Linked DNA regions of Macaca mulatta. The protein of the gene in region 2 interacts with the protein of the main gene of each other region in a biochemical or structural test. Links are inferred from orthologs where the notes say so. Each region holds a gene or a part of one and is shown on either strand. Other genes may lie near its edges.

Region 1 (4,109 bases), on a different chromosome or scaffold from region 2:
GGGAACAATTCACTCCTGGGAGTAGAAGTAGAGGAAAGGAGGAGTAACTCACCAGTCTACAGTTTTGAGGTATGCCTGCCCCTGAAAGGGCAAAGCTAGAAGGGCTTGAGTCAGAAACATCAGTAGGAAACACCGGGACTCAGAGAATGACCCAGATGCAGGGCAATTCTGCCCTGCCCACCCGGAACTCCTCAGTGGTGATACCACACTCATGACAAGGGTGGGACAAGTATTACTCCTATTTTACAGATGAAAAGACTGAGCTACTGCCTAAGATCACAAACAGGGCAGAGAGAAAGCCAAGCTAGAACGCAGGTGTGGCGGCCCGGCTCCCATTTCCATCCTCATTTGCACTAACCAAATGACTCCCCTCCCCCAACCCCACCCCAGATCTAGCCTGATTTAAAAGTTACAAGGTCAGTTCCTCCATTCCCTGGACATGTCACTTCCCAGGACCCACTGTCCTAACAGGCTAATGCGACATCATCTCAGGTTCCCTCTGCACTACTGTGGCTTGGTTCCCTGAAGACACCTCCAAGCTCAAAATGGTGCTATCACAACCCTTCCAGTGCCAGTATATGATTATTTTAGGATTATCATAAATAATATAGGAAATTAGAAGAAGAAAAAAGAAAGGAAGCAGTGGCAAAGGATAGGGAGGAAGCAGCTCCAGGAAACTTTTAAGCCTGACAAATACTGTCATAGACAAAAACTGTTACAAATACAGTCACTCACCCAGAAGAAACTTCTGGGCTTAGGGGAAAAATACTGGCACAGTACAAAGGTTGGAAAAACCTTTAGTGCCAGAACCACATAACCAAAAATTAACTATGGTTGTCACTAGCAGTTCTAAAATACAAGCCGAAGTAAAATAGGCAAGGGGTAGGGAAAAAAGGGAAAATAAAGAAAAGGGAAATCAAAGAGTAGAATAAAAGGGAGACATGGCCAGGTGCGGTGGCTCACACCTGTAATCCCAACACTTTGGGAGGCCGAGGCTGGTGGATCACCTGAGACCAGGAGTTCAAGACCATCCCGACCAACATGGTGAAACCCCGTCTCTAGTAAACACAAAAAAATTAGCCGGGCGTGATGGTGCATGCCTGTAATCCCAGCTACTCCGGAGGCTGAGGCAGGAGAATTGCTTAAACCTGGAAGGCGGAGGTTGCCGGTGAGCCAAGATGGCGCCATCGCACTCCAGCCTGGGCAAAAAAAAAAAAGGAGGCGGGGGAGACATGAATGAAGAAGCTAGTAGGCAAGTAAGTTTAAAGGTAAGACAGAGAGTAGATTCTGAAGCAGTATCCCAAACAGATCTTGTGCTACAGGGTGCCTGAGATGCTGGATCCAAAAATGGAAAAAGGAAAAGCAAGTCGAGAGGGTTTGGTTCCATTCCCAGGTTCCACCCCTAACTCTATTGTCAACCTGGAAGTCATTTCCCCTCTTGGACCTGTTTCCTTATCAGTAAAATACAAAGAGGACGAGATATGCCTCGGGTCCAATCTCCCCCAAGGGTTTATGTTGTGATAAGGTACAAATGAGCAGTCAATTCATCTAAGGGCAGGGAATCTACAGACACCAGTACTGATTGTAATCATTCATTTATTTAACACTTTCTAAAAAAAGAACCTTGGGGGTGAGGGGAGACTCATGTAGAACACATACTGGCACAACTACCCACACAAGGACACGCACACTCAAGAATCAGACAGATAAACACACAGGTGATGCCACAGGTTGACTAACGCACAAACCAACCGACGACACGCTCAGACCCACACAAACACATCTAGAGACAGAGGCATGCCCTAGCAAGTGAGCCTCATTGTTCCTCAGGAAAGGGAGTTTACAAAGGAAACAAAAACTCTCATACACAGCCAGTGGGAGGGCAGAGCTCTGGCTCTGATGAGAATCAAGGCAACCAACAGATACACTCTCCCCCTGGGAAGAGTCAACAACACGTATTAAGGACTCCTGAGGTAGTTATTCCAGAAAGGAACTTCGCTGGAACCTCTGCTGCGCTTAGAGAAATTTCAGGTTTCTATTGCATTTCCTCTTTAGACTGTGCACCCAGACATTTTCCCAGAGCAATGGCCGCAATCCAAAGATTCAGAAGAGCCAGAGACTCCTTCAGCAAAAGCTAGGGAAAGAGACTTCCACCCTAGACCACTGCCATTCGATTTTCTCCGAGGACCCTTAAGGAGCCAAGGCTCCCGGTTGCGCAGCGGGGTTCGTGGGTGCGCGTTGGAGGGGCAGGCTAGCCCTTCCCAGGGGCGTGTGGAGCGCGCGCTGGGTAGATGAGTGTGGAAGGGTCTTTGGCCTGACGGCCCTCTGCAGTGAGGACGAGGAGTGTACCTCTGGTGTGTGCAGCGTGAGGGGTACGGTCACAGCTCACCAGTGTGGGGGAGGGGAGCCAGCCACTCACCCAGCTGTGAGAGTGGTGAAAGAGGGACCAGCCAGGGGTGGAAAAGAGAATTAGGAGAGCGAGGTAGGAAGGTTTCTGAGCTCCTCCCCTCCCGCGGGCTAAGGGCGTGGGGAGAGGCTTCCTCCAACCTCCGACCCGACCGGCCGATTCCTCCCGAAACTCCGGGAACTTACACAACAGGATCGCCAATATGAAGAGGTGCAACAGTTTCCTGTCGGCTTGCGCCTTTGTCCCCATCGCGATCAGGCTTCCGGTACAACAGCCGCCGACGGGCTCCTGGGAACAGACACAGCTCCGCAGACTTCAGCGCTGGGACTGAGAGCCAGCCGCCAGGTGGAGCCCCGCCTGGCCCCGCCCTCCGCGGCTTATTGGCCAGCTCCCCACCCCGGCGCGTTCCGATTGGAGTAAGGAACCGCCGCTCTTCAGAGCGAGTCACCTCCGCCAGGTGTTACCCTGCCGCCACTCCCCGCCTCGGCGCACTGCGCCTTTCCCCACCTGAGCTGCCTCTGATTGGCCCAGGAGACTGTCGCGTCAGGAGACGAATGCCGCACCTTCAGCAGGTGACGGCCCCCTGATTAGTTGGTGTTCCTGAAGTAGGGACTTCCTGACTGACTGGGTTCTCAGTAGGAGCTGGAGGGCTGAGAAGTACCTCTAAGGAGGAAGTAGGGAAGGCATTCGTGGTGTGGGATTTATGGAGACGGGCTTGGTTTGTGATTTTGCGTTTGTTTGAATGTAAGTTGCTTGGTGCAACTGCACCTGCAGTTTGGTGCTGCAGAAACTTTGGGCCTGCCTCTTGGCAAGTGAAAACCACATATTAACATGGGAGGGCGGGGGAGAAGACCGGGAGAGAAATGGAATGTTACCTTGACACCATCTCCAAACTGTTCCTCTGTCCACCCCACCGGCAGCATTCACAGGCTTTGAGAGATGAGCTGCGCTGGGAGGAAGAAAGGGAAAAAACAAGGGAAAGGGAGCACTCAATTGGAAAATGGGAGCCTGGTCAGTATAGTCCCAGCTACTTGGGAGGCGGAGGTGGGAGGATGACTTGAGCCCGGAGGCGGTAGTTGCAGTGAGCCTAGATCGCGCCATTGAACTACAGCCTGGGCGATAGAGCCAGACCTTGTCTCAAAAAACAAACAACAACAAAAAATTTTTTAAACCCACAATAATACGATTTGAGAAAAGCGGAATGACGTTATCTCAAGAAGAAAGTTAAACAGATGTACACAAAACACACCCAGATGATACAAACTGAGCTGAACAGGCTCTATAAACATCTTTGGGTGACTGTGGATATGTCCTTTACACATATTTGATCTGTGAACAGGTCCCTACATTTCAGAATTATTTGTTTTCTCACTGTGACTAATAGTTGTGTGCTGACTAAGCCGCCTTTTTTCTATAGACGATGTTGATACTCAAACTTTCTGTTAATATTTATATTGTTACATCTTTTTTTTTTTTTTTTTTTTTTTTTTTTTTTTTTTTTGAGACGGAGTCTCGCTCTGTCACCCAGGCTGGAGTGCAGTGGCCAGATCTCAGCTCACTGCAAGCTCCGCCTCCCGGGTTCACGCCATTCTCCTGCTTCAGCCTCCCGAGTAGCTGGGACTACAGGCGCCCGCCACCTCGCCCGCCTAGTTTTTTGTATTTTTTAGTAGAGACGGGGTTTCACCGTGTTAACCAGGATGGT
Region 2 (4,241 bases):
CAGCACATGCGAACATCTTCAAGGGCTTTCTGTTCAAATTCAGAGGTGAACAAATTCTAAGTTAAAAATGTATGCTGTCAAGGTCCCTGCAAGAAAATCTCAAGCTAATTTCAATTTCCAGATCAATATATACTAAGGCAATTTACTGGAGAAACCTTCAACCTTTACTCAGGTTGAGGAACACTATTATTACATTATTTAACAATAAGGCTAGCTTGAATTCATTATTTCACGTAATGGCATTTTATAATTGGCACATATTTGAATTGGTTTCAAATATGAATGAGATTTCACAGTTCATAGTAGTTAAGGTAGCCACAGAGTACCTATCACCTCAAAATTAGCTTGCTGCCCCTCTTTATGCAGCTCTGAAACAGCCAGAAAAGATGAATTTTCTTCTCCCAGGGGTGTTTCCTGAAAATATTCTATCAATTACAAATCAGCGGAATACTGACTGTGTTAATGTGATTCTGACCATTTCTTTTTGATATCCAAAGAGATCACATCATCGCCCTTCCAGACCTTAAGGAATCAGAACTGGTTACCAAAACTGATTCAGTGATGGCTATTTTCCATCTTCACAATATAATTAACATTTTAATCTCACATTTTCCAATTATGACTTTGTTAGTTCGTTTACATCAGCTATAACTAAGATGCAACAAACGTAATTCACCCACACATACGGTCATTTGGAGGCTCTTGGGAAACACCTAATTTATCTTCACTGGGTGCTGCTAAGAATGAGGAAACCAAGGAGATTTTTGATACATTTTTCTCTCTAGAACTGTGCTATTCACATGTGGCTACTAGGCACCTGAAACGTGGCTGGTCCAACTGGGAAACTGAATTTTGAATTTTATTTAATTTTAATTAATTAAAATTTAAATTTAGAAAAACGTACTTGATTCAGTTATTGGAAAACTTTTATGTATATTGGGTATGTATATTGGGTAACTTGGGTATGTGAATCTACTTTTGTAAATGCACATTTTATGAAACCTAAATACAGATTAAGTATTTCTGATTTTTATCAGAAATGTAGCTTAGTGTCAGAATTGAGATGTGCTGTTAGTGTAAAATACACATTGGGATTTCAAAGACTTAGCATAAAAGATGTAAAATACTTCATTAATATTTTTTCATACTGATTACATGTTTAAGTGTTAAGTTTGGATCTACAGGGTTAAATAAAATATTTTAGTAAAATTAATTGCACCTGTATGTTTTTATTAAATGTGGCTACTAGAAAATTTTAAATTACAAATGTGGCTCATAATATATCTTTTGGACAGTGCTGTTCTAGAACACTTCACAACCACTTTAACAGGACACATTTGGATACTTTCCTTTTAACAGTCTGGCTGGTCATGTAACAATAGGGCAAGGAGTAACATGTCCTCATATCAATTGGGTCTGAGTAAAGTGTGTAGCAAGCTCTACCCACAATTTCACCATGTGAGGCAACACTGTAATACCTCAATATGGAAAGAAAAGGAAACAAATTAGCACTCAAATTGAAATCGTGTACTGCAGACAACTTAAAAGAGATAGGGCCAACTGCTCTAAGGTCTTGGTTTCATTTCCCAACTGTGGACCTTAAAATAGACAATAAAGCACCGCTTCCAAAAAAAAAAAAAAAAAAAAGAGGTAAGATATTTCAATGGTAGCTCTAGCGATCCTTATTAAGCAAAAATTTGCTCTTAAATCTTATCTCCTCAACTTCTAAAGCCACAGAATACACGCTGTGTTAGGAAATCAACTTCAGATTGCCAGCATTTCCTTCACAAGCAAATTAGCAGGATTGTGCACTTGGAATACTGTTTGACAAGAATGAAAAGGAAACTATTCAAAATAGATTTAAGGAATGGACAATTAGATGAGGAACTGCAGATTTAATTCTCAATCAGCACTGTGATTAATCTGATTCCCTGCTTTTCCCCAGCGTAATTATACAACACAGATGAAAGGATGAGCATTTGGACTGTCAGTTCTATATTCTAGACCAGCCCGGTGACTCAAAGCAGACGGCTCTACCACGCTAACCACCATCCCAACAACAGTCGAGGGGAGCCTCGAGCACTGATTGAACAGTCATTGCATAACGAAGCATTAAAAATTCGAATGCCCCCAACTCTTTCCACGTTCATGTACACCAGGAGGGAATGTGCTGAAACTGAACGCACCCGGTCTTAAATGATCCCCTCCAATCCGGGCATGGGGTGTACACAAAGGCATCTGTCTAATATCCCGCACAATAGACACACACCCCACAATTAAAACCCTGGACTCACTCTCTCTCTCACCACACAAGCAAAGGAAATGCAAGCTGCTCTTTTCAAAAATGGTCTATGGCACATGCAAGGTAACAAAAACCCCAACTGAAGCAACTATAAAATCGGCTGTGCCACGTCCCTGTGCAACCGTCAGATAAAATGCAGGCAGCCGGCCCCACGCCTTACGGGGTGGCCAGCCTCGGCTCGGTGGCCTCAATGGACCGCTGAGAACCCCCAGGCCCCCGCCTGGCAGGAGCTCCAGGTACACGTCTATAAATACTCCAAGATGAGAAGGACGAGAGGGGAAGAGGGGAAGAGGGGAAGGAGAGAGGGCAGGGGGCAGGCCCGGAGCGGGTGCGGGAAGACCGGGGCATCACTGAAATGCATTTTTCCACACTCCCGCTCCCTCGCGTGGAGACTCACTTTCCGATCACCTCGCACAGCTCGTACACATCCTCGAACAGCACGTCGTCGTCGGCCATGGTCCGGAGGGGATAGCGGCCGCAGCGTGGAGGGCTTCGAAAACGGGGGTGGGGGCGCCCAAGAGCTCAGTGCCCAGCCCCGGGATCGCCTCCTCCCCTCAGGACCCGCGAGCCCTCGGTGCCGAGGACGCTCGAGTGGTGCCGCGAGGCCCAGAGACTGCGGCGCCTTCCTCTGCAGGCGACCGCCCCGGCGCGGGCGGCGGGGCCGGGGCGTGGGAGCGAGGGCGGCCCGGGCCCGGCGCCGCCCGCCCGCCCGCTGCTCCTCGCGCTGCTCGGGCCGCGCTGCCCGGCGTGCGGATCCTCGGGGACCGCGCGGCGTCGCGCTCTCCGCTCGTCAGCCCGCGCGGGCCGCGAGGCCGCGACCGCTCCCTCTGTCCGAGGCCGGCTCCGTCGCGTCGCGGAGCAGCTCGGGCTATAGAGGGGGCCGCGGCAGGACCATGGAGGGAGGATCGCCGCGGAGGGAGGTGGCGGCGGCGGATCGGCGCTGGGGACCAGGAGGCGGTGGCAGAGACGCTCCCTCCTACTTCTCCTCCTCCCGCAGCCGCCACCGCCCGCCCGGGAGTGGGAGGGGGCTTCGCGGGACTGGCGCTCTGTGCGGGCGGGAGCCGCGGCCGCCGCCTTCTGCTCCGCCCCTCCGCCTCAGCAGCCGACCGGCTAGCCAGCCCCGCGCACCCGCCTCGCGCAGACACGCCCTCCTCCCCCGTCGGCGGCGCGGCTTCCAGAACCACAGACTCCGCCCACTCTAGCCCGTCGGGAGGCGGTGGCCCAGGGAAAGGGGAGCGGGCTGAGCGGCGCATGCGCGCGGCGCGGGCCGCGTCACGGCAAACGGGCGGGCACCGGGATTCTAGAGGGCGCGGGGGGTTGAGCGGGGCGCGCCGGCTGCAGCTGCCGAGGCGGGGCTGGTTGGGGTCGTCGCCTCCGCGCCTAGCGGCGACCAAGCCGCGAAAGGGGCTGGAGACAAAAGGTCCACGGCTGTACGCTCGTTGTCCCGCAAGAGGCTCGAAACTCTGGCCGCTCCCCTTTCCTTCTTTTGTAATCGCAGGGAGCCTTTCCCAGCTTTTTGCTGGGAAAAGAGGCAGGGATAGGGTGCTAATGAATGAGAAAGCTAAAAGAGAGGTGGAGAGAGGTTGTCACTGAATCCGTGCTTGGCAGCGGATGCTTTTAGTGCTACCCTGTCATTCCTTAATGAAGATGAGGGCTGGGGGCAAGGGGAGGTCGTCCGAGAAAAGGACTAAACAAAAACTGCCTAGGAAGGTGTGCGACAGCAAACGGTCATCTATAGAGACAGCTTCTCCCACGTTCTGCCCCAAACTCAACAAATACCTATCCAGCGCCTACCCTCACTAGAGACCAACCTAGAGAGAAGCCAGGAAGACAGGGACAAACCGCGACTTTAAGCTCCTTTGTATATTGCCCTCAAACTCCCAGCACCTACACTGCTCTGTATACTCCCTATACATGTTAGACTTGTCAGGAACAAAAT

What was found.
Region 1: the proteins of CASK (region 2) and F11R form a complex in vitro, tested with the Homo sapiens proteins (2 studies listed by BioGRID and IntAct, with this or other methods). The link is inferred for Macaca mulatta from reciprocal best matches to the Homo sapiens genes CASK and F11R.

What each region holds. Positions count from the first base shown.
Region 1 is NC_133406.1:105,860,905-105,865,013, reverse strand, and holds the start of F11R (junctional adhesion molecule A precursor), read right to left. Parts: upstream 2,801-4,109; 5' UTR 2,657-2,800; coding exon 2,593-2,656; intron 1-2,592. UniProt on the Homo sapiens protein: Seems to play a role in epithelial tight junction formation. Appears early in primordial forms of cell junctions and recruits PARD3.
Region 2 is NC_133426.1:41,839,209-41,843,449, forward strand, and holds the start of CASK (peripheral plasma membrane protein CASK), read right to left. Parts: upstream 2,801-4,241; 5' UTR 2,759-2,800; coding exon 2,700-2,758; intron 1-2,699. UniProt on the Homo sapiens protein: Multidomain scaffolding Mg(2+)-independent protein kinase that catalyzes the phosphotransfer from ATP to proteins such as NRXN1, and plays a role in synaptic transmembrane protein anchoring and ion channel trafficking.